7 linked regions of the Oryctolagus cuniculus genome follow. The protein of the gene in region 7 interacts with the protein of the main gene of each other region in a biochemical or structural test. Links are inferred from orthologs where the notes say so. Each region holds a gene or a part of one and is shown on either strand. Other genes may lie near its edges.

Region 1 (4,086 bases), on a different chromosome or scaffold from region 7:
GGCTGGCAGGCCACAGAATTCCAGGGCTGGGAGCCAGGGTCAGACACCTATGTGGACGCCACTGTCCCCAGGCAGGCAGGGTCCCTGCCTTCTTCTGGGGCGGCAGGTGTTCCACCGCAAGGGGGCCCCCAGAAGTCGTCTGGAGCAGGGCACGGGGGCGCCAGGGGCTGAGGCGAGAGGGGCGGGGCTCCTCACCAGGCCCAGCAGGTTGAGGAAGAGGTGGGTGTGCTTGCGGATGAGGTTGTAGGCTTGGCAGCAAAGATCCACAAAATCGTGGAAGCGGCTGGAAGGCTTGTCACCCCCGTTGATGACATACGCCATGTCCGAGGTGAAGACAAAGGGGGCACGGTCCCTGGGCCAAGGGGAACACAGAGGTCAAAGGTCAGCGTGGAGGACCAGGCCCAGCTGTGGCTGCGGCAGGGCGCGTCCTCCCTTCCGTCACCCGCGTGGCGCTGGACAGACGGGCGCTCTCTGACCTCCTCCTCCTCTTTTTTTTTTTTTTTTTTTTATTTATCTATCTATTTATTTATCTGAAAGAGCTACAGAGAGGGAGAGATCTTCCATCCGCTGGTTCACTCCCCAAATGGCTGTAACAGCCTGCTGGGCCAGGCCAAAGCTGGGAGCCAGGAGCTTCTCCTGGGTCCCCCACGTGGGTGTGAGGGCCCATCTTCCTCTGCCCTTGCAGGTGCATTAGCAGGGAGCTGGATAGGAAGTGGAGCAGCTGGGACTCGAACCGGGGCCCACATGACCTTTTCCTCTTCTTTGCTCTGCCACCTTGAATCCTAACAGGTCCCAGGAGACGGACATCCCGCATCCAGCGCTGGCTGCTCACCGGAGAGCCTGCAACCACTGTTCTGGAGAGCTCAGCAGGTCCCTGTTGCTGCAGCTGGGGCTCACTTCCCTGCTCAGACCCCAGCGAGGAGGGCAGCAGCTGGCCCCACTGTCCCCACCTCGGCCCAGGGACCACGCTCCGAAGCCCAGCCCCGGCTTGTGTCCCAGCGCTCGCCTGCCTCTGCGGACCTCCACGCCGCTTACCGCTTGATGTTGCCGAACATCTGGGCGTGGCCCAGGAAGCGGCCGAAGTCGATGTGGAACATGTGGCCCGTGGTCTTCAGCATGATGTTGTCGTTGTGTCGGTCACAGATGCCCAGGACGTAGGTGGCCACGCAGCAGCCGGCACAGGAGTAGATGAAGTTCTCCACGGCCTGGGAGGAGTGAGGGCGGACCGGCACGGACACTTAAGCCTGCGTGGAGGGATTGTGGGAGCCACAGCCAGCCCCTCTCGGCCAGGCCCAGCCCCTCTCGGCCAGGCCCAGCACCACCTCACATCTGCCTGGTCATCCTTTACCACACACTACGGATAAGCGTGCGTGTGCACGTGAGCATTCCCTGAGCAGCTCGTGGAAAGTGGAAGGAGCAGAGTGAGCTTCTTATGGTGAGAATATTTTTGAAATCCATGCATTGGAACGGGTCTTCCAAAAGTTCATTAAAAATTTTCACGGGGATTTTAAATATTTTTGTACCAATATAAACTTTTAAAAAAATACAATAAAAAGGATTTAGTTATCTATTTACTTGAAAGGCAGAGTGACAGAGAGACAGAAGGAAGGAGAGGGAGAGAGAGAGAGATCTTCCACCTGCTGGGTCACTCCTCAGATGACTGTGATGGCTGGAGCTGGGCTGGAAGGAAGCCAGGAGCCAGGAACCCGACCACTGGAGCCATCAGCGCTGCCTCCAGGGTCTGCATTAGCAGGAAGCTGGAGCCAGGAGCTGGAGTTGGGGATCAAACTCAACCACTCTGATACGGGACGCAGACCTTTAAACAGGCGTCCTAACTACCAGGTCCACCCTGAATGTATCCTTTTTTTTTTCCTTTTGACAGGCAGAGTGGACAGTGAGAGAGAGAGACAGAAAGAAAGGTCTTCCTTTACCGTTGGTTCACCCTCCAATGGCCGCTGCGGCCAGTGCAATGCGGCCAGCGCACTGCGCTGATCCGAAGCCAGGGGCCAGGTGCTTCTCCTGGTCTCCCATGGGGTGCAGGGCCCAAGCACTTGGGCCATCCTCCACTGCACTCCCTGGCCACAGCAGAGAGCTGGCCTGGAAGAGGGGCAACCGGGACAGAATCCGGCGCCCCGACCGGGACTAGAACCCGGTGTGCCGGCGCCGCAGGCGGAGGATTAGCCTATTGAGCCACGGCGCTGGCCTGAATGTATCCTTAACTCCCTTTTCCACAAACATTTTGAAAGACCCTTATAAAACTGTCTCGCTGGGGCCGGCGCTATGGAGTAGCAGGTAATGCCACAGCCTGTGAGCCTGGCATGCCATATGGGAGCTGGTTCAAGTCCCAGCTGCTCCACTTCCAATCCCGCTCCCTGCTAATGGGCCTGGGCCCAGCCCTGGCTGTTGCAGCCATTTGGGGAACAAACCAGCAGATGAAAGATCTCTCTCTCCTTTTCTCTCTGTAACTCTGCCTTTCAAATAAATAAATCTAAAATAAAAAAAAAATCTCCCCTGTCTCCCGGAGTAGAAGATGGGAGGTTGTATGAGCAGCCCCACCACTCCTGGGGAATGCTGCCTTTGCCCGCGGCTCTCCCTCTGCCAGGGAGGTTGGCTGGGGAGACCACGGGCTGCTTGAAGAGCCCAGAGCTGCCCTGTCCGCACTGGGGAGACCTTCACAGACAGGAAGTCACCGGGACACCTGCCCAGAGGCAGGCGCGTGCCGGGTCCCTTCCCCACCCTGCTCAGTTCCGCCATCCGGGGCTGTTGGTCACAGCTAGGTGTCGATCTAATTAAAGTCTCTGCACCTCAGGAAGAGCTGAGGCGGTGCTGACATCTGCACATCTGACACCCCAGCCGCCACAGCCACAGCGTGCTAGGGAGATTTCGCATTCGGAGTCTTTAGTCTGGCTGACATCTGCCCCAGGACGTGAGAACACACGGAGTCAGCAGAGGCACATCTTTCACCTTCTTAATTCTCTCTGAGGAGCTGCTGTTGGGTGCATGGAATAAGACCCCGCTTAGGACACCTGCTCTGAGTATCCGCGTACCCGGGTTTGAGTCTTGGCTCCACTCCAGGCTCCCTGATGATCTACACACCTTCTGTTTTGTTCTGTTTTGATTTAAAGAACACTCCCTTCAAAGCCTCCTGCTGAGAAGGCTCAGGCATCAAAGAGGAGGGTGGGCATCTCTCCACTCCAGGGATCTCACTGCTGGGATGCAGGGTAGGTGGCCCAGAGCAAAATCCTTCTCTCCCTTTCTTCCCGGAGTCCTGGTAAGAAAGTGCCGCACCCTGCGGGCAGGGAGGCTGCAGGAGCCAGCAGCTCTCTGGGAACGACTGAGAGGAAGCCTCTGCTGGAGTCAGCCTCCCTCTGCGCGTTCTCCCTGCACACACTTCCATCACTTCACTAACATTTTTTTTTTCTATTTATTAGAGAGAGAGAGAGAGAGAGAGAGAGAGAGGAAGCACTGGCTCTCACCTACTGGTTCACTCCCCAAAGAACTGCAGTGGTCTCAGCTGAGCTGAGGCCAGGAGCTAGGAACTCAAATAGGTCTCCCACATGGGTGGCAGGAACTCAATTATTTGAGCCATCCCTGCTGCCTCCCAGGGTCTGCCTTAGCAGGAAGCTGGAACCAGGAGCCAGGCATTGAACCCAGGCATTGAACTCTGATACGTTATATTATAACGTATGTCAGATGTTATACTATGTCATATTATATAGTACACATTATATAATATTATATTATATTATATTATAACATATATATGTTATATATTGAAAGTATCTTAGCCCCTAGGCCAGACACCTATGCCCATCACTTTTATTATGATTCTATTACATCGGCAAGGACTAATCATAATTCTAGCACCTAGCACAGTACCTCATTAAGGGGGGTGTTTTTATTCCATTGATTTGAAATGCAGAGCTGGCCTGGGCCAGGCTGAAGCCAAGAGCCAGGAACTGCACCCACGGACCCAAGTGCCGCCTCCCAGGCTCCTTAGCAGGAGGCTGGATTGGAAGCAGAGGCAGGACTCAATCCCAGACACTCCAATGGGGAGTGCGCTCCCAGAGGTGGCTTAACCACCGC
Region 2 (4,738 bases), on a different chromosome or scaffold from region 7:
AGGAAGGCCTGCTGGCAAGGTTGGCTCTTGGCCGGAGTCTGAGGATTTGGTTCTCGGTTAACAGCTGATAAGAATGGTTTATTTTGCCTAGACTGTGTAAACAAGATGGTTCATGTCCAACACCTGCTTTTCTTCTAGGAGGCTAAGCCTTGGCTATGCGCTAGGCAGGGGTGCCTATGTGATAATCCCCTGCAGAAACCCTATTGAGTCTCAGATGGGCTTCCTGATGCAGACATGTCCTTGAAGGATATGTTGCTGCGAATTGATTCTGAAGGAACCGTGCCGAGCCCTCGTGGGAGGCAGAGGGCACGGGCTCCTTCAGATGTTACGTGGGGCGACCCAGCTGTGTGTCCCTACTGCACCGCCGTGACAAGCCTTAGCTCTGAGCGCAACTATGTGCTGGGCCCTGGGAGTCCTTCTAGCCAGTGTCCTAACGTGGCGGGGGTGGTCTGAGGGGTGCTCTTATACAGGGACATCCCCAACTTTTTCATGTCCTACATGCTATGAAGGTTAACACCACCAAGGCCAAACATGGCACATCTAAGAGTGAGTTTGACCTCCAGGCTGCCAATCAGCAACTTCACTAGAACTACAGGAAGTGGAACAATTCCTGACACACACCTAGCAGCTGTGTACCCTGTGTGCCCAGCACCATGCCACGAACTAGAGACACAAAGACGAAAAGGCTCAGGCCTTTAACAGCCTGCCCTCTAGCAACACAGCCATGTACCCAGCACGATGTGAAGAAGTGCTCCAAGAACCCAGCCAGCTACTTACACGGTGCACCACATCACAGAATCCCCAGGGCCCCACACCCAAAGTTGTTGGGCCAGTTCTACAGTGAAGGTCGAAGAAGAGGTAAGGGTTTTGCCCAAGATAGCTCAGGTCTCTGGCTGTATTCATTCTGCTGCGGTGAGGGGTGGGGTGCAAGGACAAGAGGGCGAGGGAAGATCTGCTAGCGGCCACGTGTCCTGTAATCACCAAGGCTTCCTCCTCCATGAAGGCCGCCATGGTCTCCCCAAACAGCCTCACTGGAGGCCCTTGTCAGTGCTGTTTTTATGAATGAATCATGTTCTCCCAACCAGATGGCAAGTCTGCTGGGAAGAGAGCCCTTATCATATTTCAGTATATTTCTTTCTATGCCTTTCCCCAGTCAAATGCCAATTAGCTACTTTGTTGGTAGAAAGTTGCCATGGCTGGTGGCTGTATGGAATGGTGCTGTGCTGTCAGCCCACCCTGCTGGCCACAGGGAAACCAGAGGGGCCGAGAGGCAGGTGAGACTTTTCCAGGTGATGGCTAGCCTGGGAGACAGGTTTCTTAAAAGGCTTGCCAGCCAGCCTGCTGGGTGTCCCCAGTGGAAGCAGACGGCTGGAAAGTGCTGGGCAACTTGGGGAAGACAAAAGTAGCCCGACTTGCAAGAAATGGAAATGAAATGTAGGAAGCAGCTGAGGGCGGCTCGCAGGAGAGAAGGGGAAAGGTCCCATCAGCCATGATACCCGAATCTCCACTTTCTTTCTCAACACTTTGTTAACTCACAACACTGCTTCTAGGCTTGGAGCCTCCTCCTTTTTTGTTGGTGAAAATGCCAAGAACCCAGCCTCAGCGAGAAGGAAGTCACTTGACCAAGGTCACACGGGGCAGTCCGGATGCGAATCCAGGTCCTGAGGGTCCCAGGGGCAGCGCGCAGGTGGCGGGGCGAGGGCTCACTAATAGTGACGCCGCCGATGACGGCCCCCTGCCCGCCGGGTTGGCGAGCCACGGCAGATTCCCAGCGTCGGACCTCGCAGGCAGACTGCGGGGCTCGACTCTGCGGGAGAGTCCACAGGATCGACACCCTGGGGCTCAGGCTGTGCAGCTCCCGGCCCCCGGCCGCCCACAGGTGGGGGCGGAGGCCTGCCGTCCCGGCCGGGGACCGGCAGGCGGCGTGTAGCTGGCAGGGGCTCCCCAGCGGCGGCCGGCCAGAGCCTCCAGGGAGGGAGAGCGGGGAGAGCCCCGGCGAAGGCCAGCTGCAGCCACCTCGGAAGATCGCTCTCAACCGCAGTCGGCCTAAATCAGAACACCTGGACGTCCGGCGCCCCCATGACGCAGGTGCAGGCGAGGCGCGCCCGGCCACCGCACCCTGTGCGCCAGCCGCGGATCTGTGGAGCCCGGAGTGCCGGCCCAAAGCGGGGAACGAAGGGTTAAAGCCCGAGTCGCTGCTGGTCGCCGGGGCCCGACAGGTGAGGGACCCCGGAGCGGCAGGGGGAGGGGCCCCGGCCTGGATCTTGGGGGCGTGGCTACAGGGCCGCCCCGCCCCTGGCGGGGAGCGGCGCGCGCAGCCCCGCCCCCGGAGTATAAGAGCGGTGCGGCACTGCAGCTAGCGCAGTTCTCACCGAGACCCGTCACCCCGACTCTACGTGAGACGCACCGCCCGGACTCACCATGGTGAGTGCGGCCCCGCCGGCCTCGTGCCCTGTCCCCGAATTGCCCCTGTCCTTTGGGGGACCCTCCCTCCAGGGATGCTCCGGGCCCTCCACCTGACCCTGCGGGTCTGCAGGGGGTGCGAGGGTTCCGCACCCTGCCCCAACCCCCCTCCCGGTGACTTTGGCGGAACTATGGTGGCCACCTTCGCGGGGTGGGGGCTGGAATCTTCGCTAGCAAAGAGAAGCCCTCCGGACCACCCCCTCCTGCCTCACCAAGCGTTTGTGCCCCAACCCTCCCAGCGGAGTCACGCGGTCCCGCGCCCAGTCCTCTCCGTGGGCGACGACCCGCTTGGCTGCCCGCCCCCGGCCCTGGGACTGACCGGACATGTGCTTGGCGCCAGATGGTGGAGAGGGGCCAGGGTCCTTGGTGCCGCATCCCCGTTTCCTCAGGCTGTTTGAGCATCCCTCCTGCCCACAGCCGCTCCCCCCACCCCGGCCCGTGACTCAGCACCCCACTTCTGGCCGGGAGGGATGGCGGGAATGGGGTTCGGCCTCGTGAGGTGAGCCGGCCCCTCTGCAGCCTGAGCGCGGGTGCGCGGACGGACGGGCAGAGACAGCTGGCGCCGAGCGACGGCGCGGGCCCGGGCCAGGTTGGGGGGATGGGAAAGAGGTGTGTGTAGGGGGAGGTATTTATAGCCCAGGAGCGGGGGCAGAAACCTTATCCCTACTTTCGGCTGGGATTTAACTGGAAAGACTCCGGCGGGAGAGCGGATGTAGGGCCGGGTGCAGCGTGGCGCTCACCCTGCCCGGGGCAAGGCGGGTTACCTCTGGGGGCCCCCGGAAGGTTCCGCTTCCTTTTCTGGGTATTTGGAAACCGTCACCCTGGCATTTCGTTGGGGGAAGGGAGGCGCGCGGGTCCTGCGGACTTTGGTGCCCCGGGGGTTAATCTGCCACTGGCAGGGACGGAGCCTAAGGCTGCAGCAGCTCCCCCGTGCCCCTACCCTTTAGCCCGCTCCTGCGGAGGGCTGGCGCTTACCAGCGTTATGGCTGCTATTTCCGTGGGGGCTGAAGGTGGTGAAGCCAGCCAGAGGGCGGGGGTGGAGGTGGGGAGAGCAGCCAGATGCGACGGATCCCCAGAGCCGGATGGGCTTTAAAGGTAGGGGGAGCAGGCCACCTGGTGACCAGTGTGGTTGGTTTGATGCCAGCCGGGAAGCCTGCGGGGAGAAAGGGCTACGTGGATTTCTCTGTGTTCACCCTCAAGAGAATTGCGGTGGGGGAGGGGGTGCTCTAGTTATGAACAAGAGGCTGTACCCCTCCCCAGGCTCTGGGGGAGCTGTTTGTGGGCAGCAGGGAATGAGGGCAGCTGAAGAGCCTTGCCCGTGGTCATTACTGCAGCGTCTGCCAGAGTCGCGCACGTGCCCTCTCTGTCCTCCCCGAGTGTCCTGTGCGTGCAGCAGGATCACGAGGAACCATAGCTCTCACTTGACAAACTCCCCACCGAGAGGCAGACGAAGGGATTTGCCTGCCCTCCTGGTGCCTGCAGCTGGGGAGTCCTGTGCAGAGGAGCCTGCCCTAGCCAGCCCCAAGCCTCCACTGCAAGACTCATCCGAGCTGAAGGCGATAGCGTGTTGGGGGGAAGCCCATGAGGTGAGAGGTTGTGGCTGCGGGCTCATGCTGTCCCCTCTCTTTATCCTTCAGCGTGAATGCATCTCCGTCCATGTAGGGCAGGCAGGTGTCCAGATGGGCAATGCCTGCTGGGAGCTCTACTGTCTGGAACATGGGATTCAGCCCGATGGGCAGATGCCCAGCGACAAGACCATTGGTGGAGGGGATGACTCCTTTACCACTTTCTTCTGTGAAACTGGTGCTGGAAAACACGTGCCCCGGGCAGTGTTTGTGGACCTGGAGCCCACCGTCATTGGTGAGAGGAAGAGGGGGCAGTGTGGAGCCGGGTGGGCAGGGACTCAAAGCTGGTCTGGAGTGTGTCTAGACCTGGCTCTCCTGGCTCTGTAAATTCCTCTCCCTGTTTGAAGCTGAGAAAGACAAGCTGATCTTGGGCTGGCCGAGGCAGCAGGTCTGGGCTTCTCGCACACTCTGGTATCTCAGGCTGGCAGAAGAATGAGCTCTTCCTGTGCATCTGGCCACAGCTACCACCCAGGGGAAGGAAGGTCCTTGTGGTTTGTGCCCTAACAATGTGGCTCATGCCCTTCCAGATGAGATCCGCAATGGCCCGTACCGCCAGCTTTTCCACCCAGAGCAGCTCATCACCGGAAAAGAGGATGCTGCCAACAACTATGCCCGCGGTCACTACACCATTGGCAAGGAGATCATCGACC
Region 3 (3,804 bases), on a different chromosome or scaffold from region 7:
GACCCCTGGTCCTGAGGCACAGGCCTGAGCTGTAGATACATAGGACACTTGTTAGCAGCTAGGCCTGGGGCCTTAGATACTTCCTTTGTTTAAATTTCTTTTCCACACCTCTCTCCAACAACAAAACCTTCAAGCCCTGGGACTGGGGGCAGGATTCAGAGAGGAGGTGGTGTGGTTGCACAGAAAGGATATGGAACCCTCCCCTTCCCCTTACCTTGGCTGATTTCATCCTCTATGGTAGAAGCTTCTGGAAGATAAACTGAGCCCTTTTTTCCCAGTTCTCATAACCTGAGCTGCTGACTTGGAACACAGGTGGACACAGACACATCCCACCCTGCTCAAACTTCCATTCTCATAACTGAGGATATGGTCTCACTCACTGCAGACAAGTCCCTTCTGCTATTCCTTAGTGGAGGCCATATGTGTTCCCCTGGAAAAGCCAGAAAAACTTGCCCAAGAAAGGGGGAATTTCAGAGAGGAATGATAGCAAACTTGGATGTCCCAGGAGGAGTAGAAGTGTTCCATTTTCCAGGAAGAACGCTGAGAGCTGAGGGCACCCGAGCCTTCACCCTCTATCAGTGACATTCACTGGTCAACCAAGAACATGGACAGAAGCATCTCAGGTCTTTCAGAGATACAGAGAACAGTACCAGCTCTGAGAGCACTTTGTTTCAAACCCAGGAGTTCCCTCTATGTGAAGGGCACCTGCCCTCGGGCAGTGACTGCAATCTCAAAATGCCTTCTATTATCACAGTGGCCACTTGGAGATCAAGAGAGGAAACTCTTACTGGTATCTTCTGCCCAAGACCAAATAATCCAGATGCAGAAGTAGGGAGGGCAGCCCAGGCAGGAAAAAATGTGCAACATTAGATATCTAAGCATACTTTAAAGTTTGTAAAAAAAAAATGGAGTTAAGATACATTTATTTTGGTGCAAAAATTGAAATCCATGCATACTTTTCATATGTATTTTCCATGAACATTTTGAAGGAATGTTGTATATCACTATTAATCAGAGTTGTCAAATATTTCAGGTTTAAGGAACAAGGGCAGAATACAACACAACTGTTTTTAGGAAGCTATTTTACAAACCACCCACAGTATAACAGAGCTCTGACCTAAGATAATAACCTGAAGATGGAGAGGCTAAAACAGGATTTTTTTTTAAAGGTTTATTTACTTGAAAGAGAGTGAGCAAGCTTCTATTTGCTGGTTCACTACCTAAATGGCCGCAATAACTAGAGCTGGGTCAGGCCGAAGCCAGGAGATTTGTCTGGGTCTCCCACATGGGTGCAGGGGCCCAAGGACTTGGCCCTCTTCCACTGCTTCCCCGGACACATTAGCTGGGAGCTGGACTGGAAGTGGAGAAACCAGGATTTGAACTGTGGCTTAACCTTCTATGCTACAGTGCTGTCCCCTAGGACAGAACTTCAGCGACATAAAGGAGGTGGAAACTGGTTCAGGTGAGTTTGGGCTAAATCTGCAGTTTGCTTCACTGGAGGGAATCGGCAATTTAAAGCAGAAATACCCACTTGATATTGGCTTTCAGTGACCTCCCACCCCTGCTAACAACTGCTTCCTGGGATCCCAACACCTCTGCAGAGGCAAAAGTGTCTCAAGCGTTCATGGGCAAAAGAGGCAGGGGCTGCTGCTGGGAGGGGCCCCAATGGGACGAGGGTGTCCATGAAGAGCCCTCAGTAATTGGCGAGTCCAGACTATGCCATCTTCAGTGGACAGAGAGTGAGAGGAGCTCCATTTTTTCCATCATCATTGAAACCAGGACTGAAGAAGGGCCGCAGAGGTCCAGCAAAGTCACAGTCAGAGAAGGTGTAGATCAGGGACCCATGGTCAGTGACATTGTAGAAGGAAACAGTGCTGGCCTCATAGTCCAGGAAGATCCCAACTTGGTATGGAGGTACCCGAAGGTGGAGGGGGGTTGGGGAACAGGTGCCAGCCTCATATTGTTTTACTTTCCACAGCCAAATTGTCCAGAAGCCTCTCTCAGTGTTGAGCACAAAATTCCCCTTCCTCTGCACCGAGGCTCTGCAGACTCCCAGGTCCCAGGCCCTCTTTCCCCTCACACTGACTTCCCAGTAATGCTTTCCAGAGTTGAAGTGCTGGGCACCGAGGACCATTGGATAATTATCAAATCTCTCTTCATTTTTTGGCACATCCTGCCAGGTGTTTGCAAGCCTCACTTGTCTCAGGTCCTCTGAGATGATGAGCTGTGGATTGGCCGTTTGTGGATCCAGAGTGATGTGTACTGCAGAGAGAGCACCACGGTCAGGCCTGGGGTGTGGGAAGTCCTCAGCCTGTGCCTGTAGCAAGGGGATCTGTGTCAATTCCAGGAGGAGGACGAGCGGCCGACCTCCTCAGGTGAGGAACTGACTTCCAGCGAGCCCTGGCCTTGCCCTGGCCTTTGAAGGGATTACCTTCTCTACTCCTATCTCTCCCCCACCTGCCATCTCTCCTCCATACTGCTGTCCATCCTCCCCCATCCTGGGTCTACTCCACACTTTCATCATTCCCATCTGCCCCACACCCACAACTCCCAGAGCTCGCCTCACCGCCACACGTCCTCAGCATCTTCTTCAGCCCCGGCACATGGCACACACTCCTCAGGTCTGGTGAGATGACTTTCAGCTCCTCCAGGCTCCAGGACTCACTCCTGGGGAAAGAGTTTCAGACTCGTCTTCCACTCCTATTACCTACCCGCTCCCCCACCCCAACCATAACACTATGACTTCCTTGGGGATTGTGATAGTTAAGTACAAAACTTATAATTGCCTCTGGGAAGTAGGAATGAGAGGCAAAAATTTCCAGGATTTATCCAGAAATTCCTAGTTATGAAAGTCTTTGCAGCATGTGTCTTCTCTCATGCTTACTTGGTGACCTTGGGCTCCATCTTATCTTACAGGCAAGGTGTCTGATACAGGCTGAATCACATCTATGAGAAGCCTCAAGGAGTCTGGCCATGCTGTAGGTCTGTCTTACAGCTCTTTCGAGGTAGTTTATAACTGGTGTAACTGCTTCTAAAAAAGCAGACCCAGCAGGCTAGAGAAATTCCTAGCCTTTCCCCAGTTGTTGGGGATTTGCTCTGTGAAGATATTATAGCCCAAATCCTCTGGGAAACTTGGCAACTGAGCTATCCATTTGTTAGCCTTCTGAAACCAGAAAGTGCTTAATAGAGGATCTCCTTGAGAACAGGGAGGCAAGCACGGGAAAGTCCAGGGCATGTTTTTCTACCTTTGCCACCCTCTCAGAGGCATATATGATCATATTGCCCCCTCTTTTATTTATTTTATTTTTTAACTTTTATTTAATGAATATAAATTTCCAAAGTACAGCTTATGGATTACAATGGCTTCCCCCCCATAATGTCCCTCCCACCCGCAACCCTCCCCTTTCCCACTCCCTCTCCCCTTCCATTCACATCAAGATTCATTTTCGATTCTCTTTATATACAGAAGATCAGTTTAGCATACATTAAGTGAAGATTTCAACAGTTTGCTTCCACACAGAAACATAAAGTGAAAAATACTGTTTGAGTGCTAGTTATAGCATTAAATCTCAATGTACAGCACACTGAGGACAAAGATCCTACATGAGGAGTAAGTGCACAGTGACTCCTGTTGTTGACTTAACAAATTGACACTCTTGTTTATGGCCTCAGTAATCACCCTAGGCTCTTGTCATGAGCTGCCAAGGCTATGGAAGCCCCCTGAGTTCACTGACTCTGATAATTTTTAGACAAGGCCATGGTCAAAGTGGAAGTTCTCTCCTCCCTTCAGAGAAAGGTACCTCC
Region 4 (4,086 bases), on a different chromosome or scaffold from region 7:
ACTTCCCTCCTCCCCCTCCTGCTCCTCCTCGCAGGACCCCTCAAGTGCCAGGCAAATAGTGACAGTAATACAATAGTAAGGCACATTAGTTAAGCACTTGACACCAGTGAACACTTCTTGGATACTCTGGGTTAGGCACGTGCTAGACTTTACATCATAGCTGGTTAGACTCCTGGTTACCTTACACGGTAGCTCCCCGTTTTACAGATGAGAAAAACTGAGGCTTAGAAAGTGCTCAGTTCAGAGCTTCTAAAAGGCAGGACGAGCATCCAGACGCCAGACACCAGAGTCTAAAGCACTGGTAATCCCGATTACGCATGACCATTCCCGCGTACCAGGCAGCTTTACTTATGGCCTTGTTCTACTTAAGGAGGCACCTGAACTCCTCCAACACGGAGATGAGCTGTATTCTTTGGGTAAACATGGGTTTAATTAAGCAGGTTAAGGCTTTAGAAACAAGGCAGATGCTTCGGTGAGCTACTGGTTTTTCAAACTCCAGGCCAATACAACTTTCCCTCTGAGAAGCAGCCGCCCCTCACCTGTGCCCCTCCCACCGTGAACCTGAACAGCACTCAGCTGCCCTGAGGCCAGGGCGGGGCTTCCCAGTGCAGAGGCGCGAGCGTCTCCAGGACTGAACACACAGCAACACACACACACACGCACCCACCAGGGTGGGCAAAACGCGCAGAAACCCTGATTTACATCTTTGCCCAATTAAGAGATCAGCATGTGGGGCACAAATGATTCAGTCATCGATTTCTCAATAGCAAGCTTTTGAGGTGACATTCAGTTAGCAAAGCTGATGTACACATACCTGTCAGGAGCATACAACAAAATAAGGGAAACCTGAATGGAGAAAACAGAGAGCTGCGGCTAGAGCACCCAGGAGCCTGAGCTGCTCGGAGGGAGACGGCAGACGGGCGGGGGTGGGACAGGTGTGGCGCAGCTGCAGAGGGGGCAGAGAGGCGGGGACTCGGCACCCAGGGGAGGCCGGGGAAGAACGTGGGAGCTGCGACGTCCTGGCCAGGATCATGGCAGGGCACGGGGACTCTTACAAACACCACTGTAGCCACACCGAGCAGGTGGACCACCTGTCCCGTGATCGGGGCGGACACATGGATGCAACACACACAGAGCCACTGGGCACAAGCCACAGGCCCTGCAAGTGTGGAGCTGCCTTCAGGGGAGGTGACTTGGGGCGCGTGAGCAGAAGCAACAGAGGCCTCAAGACCAGAGCAGGACGGCAGACTCACGGCAGGGCCTCCAGGGACATCACATGGGTTGGGGTCAAGGAAGGTGTCATGGAGGAGGCAGTGTTTTCTTGGGCCTGGAAGGGTTCTGGTGGGGTGGGGCATGTGTGTCTGGGAGGCAGCACGCCCAGGTGGGCCTGACAGTGATGGGAGTGGTTCAGTGGCAGTGACATGGGCTAGGTGTGGGCAGCAGTGGGGCCGTGCTCTGAGGCTGGGGCCAGAAACCTGTCCTCCATCTGGGAGGCCACAGGGGAGACAGCTAAGCAGGGAGAGGCGCCCTCTAGGAGTGAGGACGGTGGTGCTGGGGACAGGGAGCTGCAGTGCGGAGAGGAAGGGGCCGGGCAGGTGGAGGGGGAAGCGCAGGGCTCCACAGCAGAGTGGGTGAGGGGCAGGAGGGCAGGTGCTGTCCAGGCGGCCGAGTGGGGATTCTTGGGAGGACGAGGAGGAGCGACCATGGATGGAGGCCATTGGATCCCACAGGGCACGCGCAGCTGTGGTCAGCCAGGGGTGTCTGAACCCAGGGTGACATGGGCGGCTCCCCAAGGAAGGGAGCTGCCGGAGCGAGGTAGCAAAAAGCACTGGGTGAGGCAGGACTCCTCTCCAGGGGAGGAGAAAGAGGAAGGGAGACGAGGAGGGAAGGTCTGCGGGCGCGAGGACCTCAGGGCCTGAAGGGGTCCAGAGGGAAGAGGAGACTGGATGCCCAACACAGGGAGCGGGCACGGGCGGCAAGCCACTGGTCAGGCCACTTCCGCGGCCGGTGGCCGTGGGGACAGGACTTGGGATGAAGGAGGAGGGGAGGCTCAGGGCCAGGCAGGCGTCCTGGGGAGGGAGCGGGCGGAGGCGGGGCAGGCTGGGAGGGCGGGGGCAGAGTGGGAAAGGGAAGGGGAGTTAGAGGGCGTGAAGTGGAGCCTGCAGAGACAGCTGTGGTGGGAGTGAAGACTGGTGAGGAAGAGGGACTGAGACTTTGCTGTGGGGACCAGGAGGCCCGAGCCTGCCCAGGCTGCCTAGTGGGCGTGGCAGCTGAGCCTCAGTGAGGTCTGTGATGGCAGCTTCGGGAGGAGCGGGCAGGCAACGGCCAGGGCCCCACTGGCCATCCTGCAGCGGGCCTGCTCTTCCAGGCTGTCCCCATGGCCCCAGTCTTACAGCAGGGACAGCAGCCTGTGTCCCCAGGGCCAGACTCCCTGCCCCCCGGTGCTAAGCCCCCAGGGCCCTGCAGGTACCTTGGTAAGCCTTCTCGCGCTTCTTCTTCTCCGTGTCGATGTACTGCTCCGATGCCGCCTTGATCTTCTGCACCCAAGCAGTCCTGGGGGGGAGGGGAGAGCAGCCATTGGGGGCTTCCCGGCAGCGTGCCGGCCGTGGGGGGGGGGCAGCCACTGGGGGCTTCCTGGCCGCGTGCCGGCTGTGGGGGGGGGCAGAGCAGCCACTGGGGGCTTCCCGGCAGCGCGCCGGCCGTTGGGGGGGGAAGCAGCCATTGGGGGCTTCCCGGCAACGTGCTGGCCGTGGGGGGGGGGGCAGAGCAGCCATTGGGGGCTTCCCGGCAGCGCGCCGGCCGTGGACGAGCCCACAGCTCTGGTGCCCCCCCTCTTTTGCCAACCTCAGCTTTGGCAATTTCCAGTCACAGACCTAATGTGTTAATTCAACAGAGGCTGGCGCCGAGAGGGTCTGAGGCCAGTTCTTGGTGGCCTGCACACGGCAGACTGTGCCTGGGGCCGGAGGTGCCATCCCCGCAGGTGTGACACGGCTGCCCGGGAAGTGGGGAGTCTGTCCACGGAGAGCTGTGTGCTCAGGGGACCTGCATCCCCCAGGTTTGCCATCCCGCCTTGGGGGAAGCACGGCTGAGGGCGTAGGGAAGAGGGCAGAGGGCAGAGGTTGCAGGCGAGGAGAGTGGGGAAGGGGCCCCCCACAGGGGCATGTGGGTGGGAGGAGGAGCAAGGAGCAGCTCCAGGAGGCCATCGAAGCAGAGGACGTGGCCCGTGAGCAGCACCCAGCTGCCAGCAGGGACTGAGGCACGGGGTCCGCCGTCCCGGAGCGGCTGAGCAGACCCGAGGCGGAAACGTGCTAGGAGGCGGCAGCCCCGACTCGGCGCGGGCCTGGCCAAGGCTGCCGTGGCCGGAGCGGGGGCACGTGTGGACAGAGGGCCCCTGGGTGCGGTGGGGGTGGGCTCTCTCCTTGGTCTCAGGTCACACACGGTCAGGACTGACCTCTCGTTAATGTTGTCTGTTCGGAGCGTGTAGACCCGATCAATGTGGGAAATGTGGAAGACAGGCTCATCGCTGGAAGGGTCTGTGGGCAGTTTCACCAAGACTTCGTTCAGGAAAATGGGCTGAAAAAATGAGGGCCAAACACAGGCTGTGAGTCGGGCCCGACACTCGACCCGCCTGTGTTCAGAGGAGAAGCGGAACAGGGGCGCTGGCCGGCCTCCACCGTGTCAAAGTAGAAGTCTGGGGTGGCTTGGGCATGCTGAGCTGGCGACAGGAGCCCGAGCAGCCGTGGCTGCTCCCTCCTCTGCACACCAGCTGCGTGCGCTGGCTCAGGCTCGGTTTGCGGCGAGCGCCGAAGCTGAGTGTGGACAGAGGCAGGCCCGGGGCTCATTTCGCCAGGAGGAAGCCAGAGGGAAGGCTGGGCTCTGGCTGTCGCCAGCAGCGGCCCTGGCAAGCGGCACAGGGAGCCCCAGCCACCTGGCGATGCGTGAAGGGAGCCCTGAGCAGGACGGGCTTGGCGGCGAGGAGACCTGGAGCAGAGGCGAAAGCCCGCCCGCCAGGCCTCGGTGCCGGGGCCAGGCCACGACACTCACCGTCTTATACATTTTGAACTGAGCGTTGGACTTGGAGCTGAA
Region 5 (4,086 bases), on a different chromosome or scaffold from region 7:
CCTAAATAGCAACACAAACCAAAAACAACCAGCAGACAAAATCTTCAGTACTAGACAAAGTAATCTATAAGCATAATATTCATGAAAGAATTAACATTCAAAGTCTTGTGGGGAATATAAGGTTAAGACAGTGACCATCATAAGGTTCACAGGGAACAAAATTCAAACTGAATCCTAAAATGGCTTTATTTCATGTCCTAATTAATCATTTAACTTATCTTTACATCTAGAAAAGAACTGCAACTGTGACTTACCCAATTTCAAGTAAGATCTCTTAAAATGTTATTATGGAATTATACATTTATATTTATATACTTAAATAATGGACTGAATGATATTCCATCAAACAAATATTTAAATGTAAACTCTGTAAAGGTTGCTCTACCGCAGGTTTGAGAGGCAGTGTTTGTGTGGAAGGAATGTTTCTCTTACTTGGCTATCTCCACAGGAAACCTTCCAGAGGGATAGCTCAGCCATTTTTGAATTAGAGCTTCATTCACTGTCCATATCTGTTTTGAAGGATCAGGACATCTAAAGTCATCTGGTGGCCCACAGTTCTAAATTATAAAATAAGGAAGTTAGAGGAAAAATATTATCTATAATTCAAAACCAAAACACTCTCCATTTGTGTTTGAAAAAAAAATAAACCTCCACTAAATATGGGAAATAAAAACTTATCAAATAGATCAGAAAAATATTCTGTACAGATGAGGTATAAAAGTCAGGCCTATCACTATATAACATATAAAGAACATTAATACAGATTTTTAAAATTCCTCAAAATTGTTTAAGTATTTACATAACTGTATTATTACCTGAGGACTACAGTAATGTGAAAAGCTTTGATCTCCACCTGAGAAAATTCTTTTTACACAGAAATATTCTTCAGAATCTGTAAAAAACAAAATATAAACATTAGAATCCAAGACTTGTATCACATTGCTCAGATCAGCAAATGTGCTACTGATTTTTTTTTTTTTTAAGATTTATTATTTGAAAGGCAGAGTTACGGAGAAAGGGGGAGAAACGGAGAGAGTGCTCTGCTACCTGCTGGTTTACTTTCCAAATGGCTGCAATGGTCAGGGCTAGGCTGGGCCAGACCAAAGTCAGGAGCCTAGAACTCCTTCCAGATCTCCACATAGGTGGCAGGGGCCCAAGTACTTTGCCTGTCTTCCCAGATACATTAGCAGGGAGCTGGGTTGGGAGCATAGTAGCCAAGACTCACCTTGTGTTATCTGTGATCATGGCTCCTTCACAATTGTAAATCAAAAAGACTACAAATTGATTATTTCCTACTAACAAGCAAAATGCTTTATTTATTTAAAAAAAAAAACCCTCAGTAACTGTTTGTCAATATGACTACATAACATATCTAGCTTAGAGCTCAGAACATTAATAAAATCAAGTTTTCGACAGGTCCCAAGAATGCTTTAGAGCCAAAATAACATAAAAACAGATGGGGCCGGCGCTGTGGTGCAGTGAGTTAATGCCCTGGCCTGAAGTGCCAGCATCCCATATGGGCACTGGTTCGAGACCTGGCTGCTCCACTTCCAATCCAGCTCTCTGCTGTGACCTGTGAAAGCAGTGGAAGATGGCCCAAGTCCTTGTGCCCCTGCACCTGCATGGGAGACCCAGAGGAAGCTCCTGGCTTCGGATCAGCGCAGTTCCAGCCATTGCAGTCAACTGGGGAGTGAACCAGCGGATGGAAGACCTCTCCTTCCCTCCCTCCCTCTCTGTCCGCCTCTCCTCTATCTGTGTAACTCTTTCAAATGAATAAATAAATCTTTTTTTAAAAAAGAACAGATTAAAGGATAAATCTATGTTAAATAAACCAGCAATTTATTTAAAATCTTTTCTCTACCATCATTTAGAAAAGTCTACATGAAACTGTTCATTTCCTCAAAATGGATGTTATTTATTTATTCCTAAAATGTGATTCTGCATTTTATAAGTAACTTCTAGAAAATGGATGACTAATCTATAATACATGAATGGGTTTCCAGGAGCTGTGAATCAGACACCAGAAGTTAGCTTTCCTTTCCTTTTGATTGTGACTCCAAAAGTTTGAAAAATGTAATCACTTGTTCTGCACAAACTTCCTGCAGACTGGACTTTGCTGAATGTACCTCTGTGGTTTCTCTTAGCATTCTGCTTGGTCTCATGTATGTTTCATAAACTGGTAGGTAGATCTAGACAGGCACCAATCACAGGTTATTTAAGAACTGCTACACTGGGATATGGGGTCAAGGGGTAGGTGTTGTTCTTCCATCTTGAAACATATGGCTTGCTGAGTTTCTTTGTGGATGCTAGAAAGCACTGATATTAAACATCTAGAAAATTAATGAACTATAATTTGAAAATGATGATATGCGAGCACTGCTTCTTTACCTTAGAGGTGGACATTAGCTCCTCCTTTACTACTATATACTTATCTTAAAACAGGAAATTGAGGATTAAGCCTTATCTTTTGCATTTATTTACTATCCTCTTGCTTTTTAAATCTGCATTTCTTTGATACTGAAGAGGGTAGTAATTTTTGCATATTTCTTAGCATCATCAATTTCCTCTTGGGGAAATTTCCATTTATCTCCTTTATTTATCAGGTAACTTTTTTTTTTTAAAAGATTTATTGATTTTACTTGAAAGTTACACAGAGAGAGGAGAGGCAGGGAGAGAGAGAGAGAGAGAGAGAGAGAGCGCGAGCTCTTCCATCAGATGGTTCACTCCCTAATTGGCTGCAACAGCTGGAACTGCGCTGATCTGAAACCAGGAGCCAGGAGCTTCTTCTGGGTCTCCTATGTGGGTGCAGCGGCCAAGGACTTGGGCCATCTTCTTTTTTTCTTTTTTCTTTTTTTTTTTTTAATGTTTTGCCAGGCAGAGTTAGACAGTGAGAGAGAGAGACAGAGAGTTATAGACAGTGAGAGAGAGACAGAGAGAAAGGTCTTCCTTCCGTTGGTTGACCCTAATGGCTGCCACAGCTGGCGCTGCGCCGATCCGAAGCCAGAAGCTGGGTACTTCCTCCCGGTCTCCCATGCGGGTGCAGAGACCCAAGCACTTGGGCCATCCTTCACTGCCTTTCTGGGCCACAGCAGAGAGCTGGACTGGAAGAGGAGCAACCAGGACTAGTACCCAGCGCCCCAGTCAGGACTAGAACCCGGGGTGCCGATGCCACAGGTGGAGGATTGGCCAAGTGAGCCACGGAGCCAGCCAGGGCCATCTTCTACTGCTATCCCAGGCCATAGCAGAGAGCTGGATAGGAAGTGGAGCAGCCGAGTTTCGAATCGGCGTCCATATGGGATGCTAGCACTTCAGGCCAGGGCATTAACCCACTGTGCCACGGCACTGGCCCCTTATCAGGTAGCTTAATGTTTGTCTTATTTATCTATTAGATGTCACTGTTTGCTCATCCATATGTATATGCACATTGGACATTAAGTTGTAATTATCAAAAATATTTTCTCAAATAATTATTGCTTAATTTTGTCTCAAAAACATTTTTAATCCAATTTTATCACGACTCATTGTATTGAGGATGGAAAGGTTTTCCCAATCCTGAAATAAAAGAATCAGTTTCTTCGTTTGTTTGTTTTAAAAATTTCTTCATTTACTCGAGAAGCATAGTTAGAGAGAGAGGGAAAGACAGAAAAGATCTTCCATTTGCTGGTTAACTCCCCATATGGCCGCAATGGATGGAGCTGAGTCAATCCAGAGCCAGCAGCTTCTTCTAGGTCTCCCAAATGGCTGCTGGGGTCCACAGACTTTGGCCATCTTGTACTGCTTTCCCAGGCAGAGCGCTGGATCAGAAGTGGAGCAGCTAGGACTCGAAACAGTGCCATATGGGATACCAAAGTCACAGGTGGCTGCTTAAGCTACTATACCAGAGTGCCGGCCCCCAAAGAATCATTTTCTTAAAATTTTTTACCATTTAATCCAAACTATAATTTAATGGACAGTAGAAGGATAGGGTCTAAACTAATCTTTTTGTCCCTCAAATTTTCACACATTGAGTAATTCTTCCGTCATCTCTACAGATTGGTAATGCTTTGTTTAATACTTTTCCCACCTATCACACATACTCTAAACAAT
Region 6 (4,717 bases), on a different chromosome or scaffold from region 7:
TGTATAATTGTTTTCCCATTTTGATACATGTTCTTTTTTCTTCAAAGTGTCCTTTTAAACAAATACAAGTAACTACTTCCTGTGTGAAAGTGATAAACTACTAGTGTTGTACAAAAGAAGGCATTACGTAGTTTCTATAAAAAAATCTTTTACTACTTTCTATTAGAACTCTTTACATAGTTTTCATCTCCTAGCTCATACCTTAAACTAAACTACTGATACTTAAGGTATATATACTTCCAACTAACCTGTATAGCTCTAAGATACTTAACTCCTGGCTCAATACTTTTACTTATTGAATTTTGCCCAAAAGGTACTTATTTTTTACATGACTCCCTTCTGCAGTTAAAGTTTTGGTTTCTATTTTTATTTTTAAATTTATTTTTCCTATTTTTTGAAATGTAGAGAGAGAAAGATTTTTCATCTGCTAGTTCTCTCCCCAAATGTCCACTGGACTAGGCCAAAATCAGGAATCCGTAACTCAATCTTGGTCTTCCACATGGGTGGCAGGGACCCAATGACATAAGCCATCATCTGCTGCCTCCAGAGTTTGTGTGTATCAACAGAAAGTAGGATCTAAAGCAGAAAAGTCAGTGTTTGGGTGTCCCAAGTGCTGTCTTAACCACTGTGCAAAATGCCTACCCCTATAGCTCAAGTATTAATACTTAACCTACATGCTCTTGAACTTACTTATTAAAACATTTTAATTTCCTTGCTTACACCCATGTTTCCAGTGATTTCACATTGTACCAATAATCTTGGTGCAAAACTGAAACTCCTGCACTGTTATAAAGATGATAGGGTCCCTCAGCAGCTTTTATACCCACGGTAGCACAGTGAACAATTACGCCAACTTGGGATGCTCAATCCCATATTGGTAGCACCTCAGTATGAGTCCCAGCTCTACTTCTGATTCTAACTACCTGCTAACAGGTACCTGAGAGATTCTAGTTGAAAATTCAAGTAGTTGGGTCCCTGCCACCAATGTGGGATACTCAGACTGACTTCAGGGCTCCTGGTTTCAGCTTGTTTGTAGTTGCAGGCACCTGGGGAGTGAACTAGTAGATGGGAGATTTCTTTCTCCTCCTTTCTCTGCCTCAAATTTTTTTTTTTTAATTTTAAGACTTTTTTTTTTTTTTGACAGGCAGAGTGGACAGTGAGAGAGAGACAGAGAAAGGTCTTCCTTTGCCATTGGTTCACCCTCCAAAGGCCGCCGCGGCCGGCGTACCGCGCTGATCCGATGGCAGGAGCCAGGTGCTTCTCCTGGTCTCCCATGGGGTGCAGGGCCCAAGCATTTGGGCCATCCTCCACTGCACTCCCTGGCCACAGCAGAGAGCTGGCCTGGAAGAGGAGCAATCGGGACAGAATCCGGCGCCCCGACCAGGACTAGAACCCGGTGTGCCAGCGCTGCAAGGCGGAGGATTAGCCTAGTGAGCCGTGGCGCCGGCCTAAAATACTGTCTTAAAGAGCCATGGAACTCTGTCATCAAACTTATTCCACAGCGACAAAGGGGAAAGACGCAAGTCATTCTCACTCTCACATCAAATCCTTACAAGTTCAAGATGAGAACAGAATACAATTATGGTTTGAAAAAAAGGGGAACATCCAAGGAAAAAAATATTGTGACTGATTCCGTTCACAAAAACCCACTAAAATACCATACAACAGTCACCCAATGGCCGAATGTTGTATACCAAACTGCAACTAACTACAGCACTCCAAAAGCAGAGTTTGGAGGAGAAATACTCTCTGGATAATTAAGCTATCACTTTAAGGACAAACATTATAAAACTTTTTAAGTTATGAATGTAAACCATCCTAAAAAACAACATATGGCTTTCTTCCAAAAGGAATACTTCACAAAGTGTGTTCAGAGGTCCATAGGTGCTGCATTTGTTCCAAAACAAAGATTCCTACTGCCCCCATCCCTACCCCAGAGGAAATTCTGATTTAGTAGGTCTGGAGGAGAGTCCACAATCTGCCTGCTTACACTACTACTGCTAACATACTGTCCCAATGGGGATAAATTCAGAACAACACAGTTTGTTCCTGGTGATGCAGGACTCTCCATTATGAGCCTCAACTGTTGCACTGTGCTGTAACCTGACGAGCTCAGAGGGTGGTGAAACCTTCCAACGACTTGCCTCAAGTCTGAAGCTACATAATGCCAGATTCTGAGTTCTGGCAACCCTTTTTGTTTCCTGTCTCCTTCCTTACCGGCAGCCACCCCTACCCCTGTGTGTCATCTTGTAAAACAGTTCTGCCCATTTTAAAACTGCCAGTCTGAGATCAGAATTGTGTCATGGCGGAGTATAAATGGCTCTATATGAGGGCATGGGAGGAGTAACCAGGTGCACCATCTCTTCTTTAGGCCTCACTCTTTGTGATGGCCACCGGGGTTGCTCAGATACTACTTTGGGGGAAATTCCCCGAGTTCATGCCATGCTCCACCGTGTCCAGTGAGCGTCACACTTTCCTAAGTATTTGTTGAAAGCTGAATGACCTGGCGAAGTGTCACCCCGGAATGCCCTACCATGGCCCTTCACAATGGGGAAATCCCCGATTATGAGGTGCTACTTACACTAACAAACTGAATGTCGTCTTCATTTTCATCCGTTGTTGCCTCTGATGCTTCAGGCCCAGCTGGAGGGACAGATTCTATTATCTATAAAAATAAGCCAAAACATGCTTAACATGCAGCCACGCGCTTGAAGGGAGAGACTTTTCCAGAAAGCACGATGAAGACAAAAAGCTCTCGGGGAAAACAGCCCACGATTTCAGCAAACCCGACTACCATCAGACCTGGACGGAGTCCTGGTGCTTAGGAGCCGCTCAGAATCCCCACAGTTACAAAACAAGGGGCGACACAAGCTCACTACCCACGGGCAGTCCTCTCCTAAAACGTCGCTCCCAGCGGCAGAGCCGAGGCTGCAGGACCCCGCGACCATGGGAGGGCATCGGGGGGCGGCCATTGTTCCCGCCGGTTCCTTGCTCATCATACATGCGCAGGCCCAACTCCGGGCTCGGTCCGAGGGTTAAGAGACGTCGCCCCACAGGCCTGGGCGAGCACAGGCCTCCCCCCGGAGAACACAGGAAACCTTTCGCGGTTCGGCTCTCAGGACGCCAAAGCCCAAGGCTGCCCTACTCACCTCAGACCCTGGGTCTCCCATTTCTCCGCCGGCCTGACAGCACCACCGCGCCTGCTGTCCCTGCCGCAGCCGCCTAAGCTGCTGGCCCTGCCTCGGCCGCCGCCGCCGCCACGACGTCCCTTCCCGCCCTGCACTGCCCCGCGCCGCCGTCACCCGCCCCTGCGTGAGCGCCGACGCGGCTGACGCCGCAGGCTGCAAGAGACGCAGACCCGCTTGGAAGGAGGAGGAGCTCCCTCGCTGGCCCGCTAGCCCCGCGAGCCGCTTTCGCGCACTCCCGGGGTTCCTTCCTTTCGCCGCCCAGGATGCTGGGAATTGTAGTTCCTGCCAGACCCGAAAACGCGCCCCCCACCCCCCATGGATGTAAAAGAGGGGCAGACGCCTCCGAGGTAGAGCGCATGCGTTCAGGGCCGACATTGGCCTCTGGTGGGCGAAGCCGTTGTGTGGCCGGCCCAGCCCTGCCGGGAAGAGAAGCTCACGGAAGGTGGGGAGTGTGTTGAGTTGGTTTAGGTGTGGTTGTAAAAGGACATCTCGCTAATTTTCTCCGTCTTACCACTAAAGGTGGATGGTGGGAACTAATTTATGTTTTCTTTTTAAGCAGGTGGAGTATGTGTTCCTTTAGTGAAATTCTTAAGACCTAGGAAAGAATCTGGAGTGCCCTGAGGTGACCTACATCTAACCCAGCTTCACTGCCCCAGGCTCAACAAGTATTACAGTACACCCGAGGAAAAAGATCGAGAGGGGCGGACGGGAGCGCCTTCGTAAAAGTCCAGGATCCGAAGAAAGGGAGCTGAGGCCTGGCTAACCTTAACACCAAGCCCTAGACCGATTATACTTTCTCAAGGCATTCTCAAATACATCCCACTAAATAAAGTAGTCGATCTTTCTCAGTGTTCATACACGTAGCAGTCTATAAAACAGATCACCGACATTCAACTATGTGTTTTAATTTTTTCTCCAAAAATGCCTTCCCAACAAAAGGACTATTACACACACCAACAGTTGTCAATAACGTGTTTGAAAAGAATTTAAAGTGAGAAAATTCTTTTGAATCTTAGATGTCTGCTTTTGTCTGTCAGGTATGCAAGACTACCATCTAACTGGCCTATTTCGGTAATTACTGCTTAAAATTATTTCCTGCATATCCCCAAAGTGCTTTATGACATCATTGCTGTTACACTTATAGAGGACAACTGAGAATGAGACCCAGGAAGTGAATTTCTCAAATGCTGTCTATGTAAAATAAATATTTCTAAAGCTTTTAAATGTATAGGAAAAACTTGGGGCCGGCGCTATGGTGCAGGTTAATCCTCCACCTGCGGCGCAGGCATCCCATATGAGCGCAGGGTTCTAGTCCCGGCTGCTCCTCTTCTATCCAGCTCTCTGCTGTGGCCTGGGAAAGCAGTAGAAGATGGCCCTAGAGCTCCCTGCCACGGCGTGGGAGACTGGGAAGAAGCACCTGGTTCCTGCTTTGGATCGGCGATCAGCGCAGCTCCAGCCATTGTGGCCACTGGGAAGTGAACCAACGGAAACAAGACCTTTCTCTCTGTTTCTCTCTCTCACTGTCTGTA
Region 7 (4,084 bases):
TGGTGTCACTGGGCTCCACCTCGAGGGTGATGGTCTTGCCGGTCAGGGTCTTCACGAAGATCTGCATGCCACCTCTGAGGCGCAGCACCAGGTGCAGGGTGGACTCCTTCTGGATGTTGTAGTCGGACAGGGTGCGGCCATCTTCCAGCTGCTTGCCGGCAAAGATCAGCCTCTGCTGGTCGGGGGGGATGCCCTCCTTGTCCTGGATCTTCGCCTTGACGTTCTCGATGGTGTCACTGGGCTCCACCTCGAGGGTGATGGTCTTGCCGGTCAGGGTCTTCACGAAGATCTGCATGCCACCTCTGAGGCGCAGCACCAGGTGCAGGGTGGACTCCTTCTGGATGTTGTAGTCGGACAGGGTGCGGCCGTCTTCCAGCTGCTTGCCGGCAAAGATCAGCCTCTGCTGGTCGGGGGGGATGCCCTCCTTGTCCTGGATCTTCGCCTTGACGTTCTCGATGGTGTCACTGGGCTCCACCTCGAGGGTGATGGTCTTGCCGGTCAGGGTCTTCACGAAGATCTGCATGCCACCTCTGAGGCGCAGCACCAGGTGCAGGGTGGACTCCTTCTGGATGTTGTAGTCGGACAGGGTGCGGCCATCTTCCAGCTGCTTGCCGGCAAAGATCAGCCTCTGCTGGTCGGGGGGGATGCCCTCCTTGTCCTGGATCTTCGCCTTGACGTTCTCGATGGTGTCACTGGGCTCCACCTCGAGGGTGATGGTCTTGCCGGTCAGGGTCTTCACGAAGATCTGCATGCCACCTCTGAGGCGCAGCACCAGGTGCAGGGTGGACTCCTTCTGGATGTTGTAGTCGGACAGGGTGCGGCCGTCTTCCAGCTGCTTGCCGGCAAAGATCAGCCTCTGCTGGTCGGGGGGGATGCCCTCCTTGTCCTGGATCTTCGCCTTGACGTTCTCGATGGTGTCACTGGGCTCCACCTCGAGGGTGATGGTCTTGCCGGTCAGGGTCTTCACGAAGATCTGCATGCCACCTCTGAGGCGCAGCACCAGGTGCAGGGTGGACTCCTTCTGGATGTTGTAGTCGGACAGGGTGCGGCCGTCTTCCAGCTGCTTGCCGGCAAAGATCAGCCTCTGCTGGTCGGGGGGGATGCCCTCCTTGTCCTGGATCTTCGCCTTGACGTTCTCGATGGTGTCACTGGGCTCCACCTCGAGGGTGATGGTCTTGCCGGTCAGGGTCTTCACGAAGATCTGCATGCCACCTCTGAGGCGCAGCACCAGGTGCAGGGTGGACTCCTTCTGGATGTTGTAGTCGGACAGGGTGCGGCCGTCTTCCAGCTGCTTGCCGGCAAAGATCAGCCTCTGCTGGTCGGGGGGGATGCCCTCCTTGTCCTGGATCTTCGCCTTGACGTTCTCGATGGTGTCACTGGGCTCCACCTCGAGGGTGATGGTCTTGCCGGTCAGGGTCTTCACGAAGATCTGCATGCCACCTCTGAGGCGCAGCACCAGGTGCAGGGTGGACTCCTTCTGGATGTTGTAGTCGGACAGGGTGCGGCCGTCTTCCAGCTGCTTGCCGGCAAAGATCAGCCTCTGCTGGTCAGGGGGGATGCCCTCCTTGTCCTGGATCTTTGCCTTGACATTCTCGATGGTGTCACTGGGCTCCACCTCGAGGGTGATGGTCTTGCCAGTTAAGGTTTTCACGAAGATCTGCATTGTCTGTTATGAGAAAACACACAAAAAGAAACAAAAAAAAATTCAGCAAACAATTCACTAATATTCCTAAAGACTGAATATCGTCTATTTATCTACACTATTAAAATTAATAACTTGCTTAGGAACTCCAAAGGACACCAAACACAAACCTGAAAAATTACTTCAAAACCCCAGCCTCAGACCCTTCGTTATGAAGAAAGCAGGGAAACGTGACCAGTGAACTCAGGGCTTTTCCGTCCCTCCCCCCTTCCGGCTCGCGTTCCCGTCCACTCAGCAGGATCTCGCCTAGGCCCTAACCGTGTGTCTTGCAACTGACAGAAACCGACGCCACCCACACCGGGAGGCAGCCCCGCCCTGCTCTGTGTGCCAACACGCGGGTGACGTCACGGCGCGAGCCGCCCCCCACCCGCTGGAGCAGCCCCGCGCCGAGGCGCCTCCCTACTCCCCAGCCCCTAACCGGGGCCCAGCGCTGCCCGTCAGCCCCGCCACACCGCTCCCCCACGTCTCCAAACGCGGCCCGGCGACGCCGCCTTCCGCTCCTCAGACCCTCGCGGCGCTCGGCGCTCTCCGGCCCCTGTCCGCCCTGCACCCTGACCTCCCGGCTCGGCGGCGCCGCCATCTTGTCGGTTCTTCCGCCTGCGGGGCGACCCCAGCCGACTACCCGCCCGGGAGGGCGTCCCGCCCGCGGCGGGCAGCCGCACCGCCCTCCTCCCTCACGGCCGAGAGGCCGCGGGCCGCCCCCACCCCGGCCAGCACGACGAGGTCCACTCACCAGGCGGCGGCGGCGGCGGCGGCGGCGGCGGCAGCTGTACGCAGGATGAAGGCGACCGAACTCCGGCTCCGACGGAACTGGCTGCGCCGCGCCCGGCGCCCGCTTATATAGTCCGACGGCGAGCCGCCGCCCCGGCGAGATCCCTCCGCAGAAACGCCGAGAAGGAACTACTTTCCTCAGCCTCTTCCGCCCTCCGGGAAGGAACCCTGCGCCCGGGGCCGTCGGCCCCCTCACAAAACGTTCTCGGGTCGAGCCCGGGGCGGTACCGCCGGGCCCGGGAGGGGAGGGGCCGCCGCCCTGAGGGGCCCGGCGGAGGGATCAGGGCGTTTGCTGCGTGCTGCGGCCGACGTGCGGGCGCCCGCCCTGGGGGAGGGGAGCCGGCGCGCGGGCGGCGGGAAGACCCGGCGCGGAGCCGGGCGGCGCCCGGAGCGGGCGGGCGGCCGGGGGCTTCGGCTCCGCCCCGCGCCCCGTCCCCTCGGCCGCAGCGGCCCGTCGGTGGGCGGCCCGCGGGGGTTCCGGCCCGGCGCCCCCTCCCCGCGCGCGGCCCGCTCTGTCCCCGGCCCGCGACCTCGAGGGGCTTTCTGTGGGGTCGCGTCTGAGGTGACCGCGGTGGTCTCGTCGGGGCCGGGCCGTGACTGGGCACATCCGGGCCTCGCCTCCGCGGCCCACTGTGTCCACGGCCCGTGACCTCTAGGGGGCTTTCTGTGGGGTCGCGTCTGAGGTGACCGCCGTGGTCTCGTGGGGGCCGGGCCGTGACTGGGCACATCCGGGCCTCCCCGCGCGCGGCCCGCTCTGTCCCCCCGGCCCGTGACCTCGAGGGGGCTTTCTGTGGGGTCGCGTTTGAGGTGACCGCCGTGGTCTCGTGGGGGGCCGGGCCGGTGATTGGACACATCCTGCCCTCGCCTCCGCGGCCCCGGCCCCGGCCCCGGGCCGCCGGCGCGCAGACCCGCGGGGAGCCACGGCGGACCCCGACAGCGCTGGCTGGTTGCGGCTGGTCGCGGCCGCCCAGGCTCTCCCCGGAAGCCGCCGCCGGAGGCGCCTGGTGCGGCCCGGGCTTTAACCTGGGCCTTTTTACGGACGCGAACCGAAGCTGCGCTCTGTGTTTCCGGGATCCGATGCATGAAACGCGCACCTCGCGTTGTGATCACAAGGGGGAGGGGCACGGTCAGCCACGGGGTCGTGTCCTGGTGTTTGGGAGAATCGTGGCGTCGACCAGCAGGTGAGCTGGAGGCTCTTAAACGTTAGCGGTGGATTTGCCCCCTCGTGCCCCGAGTCCCCCCCTCCCCACGCTGTGCTGTGCGACTCTTCTAGAATGTTCCATTGCCACGATGGGGCGGAGGCGGGACCACAGCCCCTCCTTAGAGGGGAAGACCGTTTTACAAGTGTCATGTCACCGAGAAGCCCCGGCAGAACAACCGCTGTGTGGTTGCTGTGGTAACCTGCGGCTGTGTGGATCTGGGAAGATCTACCTGAGCATTGTTAGAGGACTTTTCCACCCCTTAAACCCCCAAACAAGGAATGCCCGGGCCCGGGGGGTTAAAATGCAGAGCAGGAACCCAAGCTAGCGGGAGACCCTGGTGATGGCCAGCACGGATTCCTGTGATGGCCAGGTGTTTTCGTTCTTGTTTTGTTTTTCTGAAGTTCGCATC

The links.
Region 1: the proteins of UBC (region 7) and PIK3C2B form a complex in vitro, tested with the Homo sapiens proteins (2 studies listed by BioGRID). The link is inferred for Oryctolagus cuniculus from reciprocal best matches to the Homo sapiens genes UBC and PIK3C2B.
Region 2: the proteins of UBC (region 7) and DNAJB2 form a complex in vitro, tested with the Homo sapiens proteins (2 studies listed by BioGRID). The link is inferred for Oryctolagus cuniculus from reciprocal best matches to the Homo sapiens genes UBC and DNAJB2.
Region 3: of the proteins of UBC (region 7) and TRIM21, one has a biochemical effect on the other in vitro, tested with the Homo sapiens proteins (2 studies listed by BioGRID). The link is inferred for Oryctolagus cuniculus from reciprocal best matches to the Homo sapiens genes UBC and TRIM21.
Region 4: the proteins of UBC (region 7) and ITSN2 form a complex in vitro, tested with the Homo sapiens proteins (2 studies listed by BioGRID). The link is inferred for Oryctolagus cuniculus from reciprocal best matches to the Homo sapiens genes UBC and ITSN2.
Region 5: the proteins of UBC (region 7) and HERC4 form a complex in vitro, tested with the Homo sapiens proteins (2 studies listed by BioGRID, with this or other methods). The link is inferred for Oryctolagus cuniculus from reciprocal best matches to the Homo sapiens genes UBC and HERC4.
Region 6: the proteins of UBC (region 7) and ZNF451 form a complex in vitro, tested with the Homo sapiens proteins (2 studies listed by BioGRID). The link is inferred for Oryctolagus cuniculus from reciprocal best matches to the Homo sapiens genes UBC and ZNF451.

The regions. Positions count from the first base shown.
Region 1 is NC_091444.1:19,878,429-19,882,514, forward strand, and holds part of PIK3C2B (phosphatidylinositol 4-phosphate 3-kinase C2 domain-containing subunit beta), read right to left. Parts: intron 1,206-4,086; coding exon 1,036-1,205; intron 959-1,035; exon of another isoform or gene 790-958; intron 353-789; coding exon 196-352; intron 1-195. UniProt on the Homo sapiens protein: Phosphorylates PtdIns and PtdIns4P with a preference for PtdIns. Does not phosphorylate PtdIns(4,5)P2. May be involved in EGF and PDGF signaling cascades.
Region 2 is NC_091434.1:20,213,936-20,218,673, forward strand, and holds the start of DNAJB2 (dnaJ homolog subfamily B member 2), read right to left. Parts: upstream 2,975-4,738; 5' UTR 2,783-2,974; intron 2,425-2,782; coding exon of another isoform or gene 2,422-2,424; exon of another isoform or gene 1,784-2,421; intron 1-1,783. Other genes in the region: TUBA4A (tubulin alpha-4A chain), read left to right, coding at 2,422-2,424, 4,101-4,323, 4,616-4,738. UniProt on the Homo sapiens protein: Functions as a co-chaperone, regulating the substrate binding and activating the ATPase activity of chaperones of the HSP70/heat shock protein 70 family. In parallel, also contributes to the ubiquitin-dependent proteasomal degradation of misfolded proteins.
Region 3 is NC_091432.1:62,646,764-62,650,567, reverse strand, and holds the end of TRIM21 (E3 ubiquitin-protein ligase TRIM21), read right to left. Parts: intron 2,668-3,804; coding exon 2,567-2,667; intron 2,263-2,566; coding exon 1,715-2,262; 3' UTR 907-1,714; downstream 1-906. UniProt on the Homo sapiens protein: E3 ubiquitin-protein ligase whose activity is dependent on E2 enzymes, UBE2D1, UBE2D2, UBE2E1 and UBE2E2.
Region 4 is NC_091433.1:178,394,335-178,398,420, reverse strand, and holds part of ITSN2 (intersectin-2), read right to left. Parts: coding exon 4,045-4,086; intron 3,574-4,044; coding exon 3,452-3,573; intron 2,554-3,451; coding exon 2,471-2,553; intron 1-2,470.
Region 5 is NC_091446.1:59,920,814-59,924,899, forward strand, and holds part of HERC4 (probable E3 ubiquitin-protein ligase HERC4), read right to left. Parts: intron 893-4,086; coding exon 816-892; intron 558-815; coding exon 433-557; intron 1-432. UniProt on the Homo sapiens protein: Probable E3 ubiquitin-protein ligase involved in either protein trafficking or in the distribution of cellular structures. Required for spermatozoon maturation and fertility, and for the removal of the cytoplasmic droplet of the spermatozoon.
Region 6 is NC_091436.1:112,490,523-112,495,239, forward strand, and holds the start of ZNF451 (E3 SUMO-protein ligase ZNF451), read right to left. Parts: upstream 3,171-4,717; coding exon 3,150-3,170; intron 2,666-3,149; coding exon 2,582-2,665; intron 1-2,581. UniProt on the Homo sapiens protein: E3 SUMO-protein ligase; has a preference for SUMO2 and SUMO3 and facilitates UBE2I/UBC9-mediated sumoylation of target proteins. Plays a role in protein SUMO2 modification in response to stress caused by DNA damage and by proteasome inhibitors (in vitro).
Region 7 is NC_091452.1:5,126,933-5,131,016, reverse strand, and holds the start of UBC (polyubiquitin-C), read right to left. Parts: upstream 2,801-4,084; 5' UTR 2,436-2,800; intron 1,982-2,435; exon of another isoform or gene 1,813-1,981; intron 1,667-1,812; 5' UTR 1,664-1,666; coding exon 1-1,663.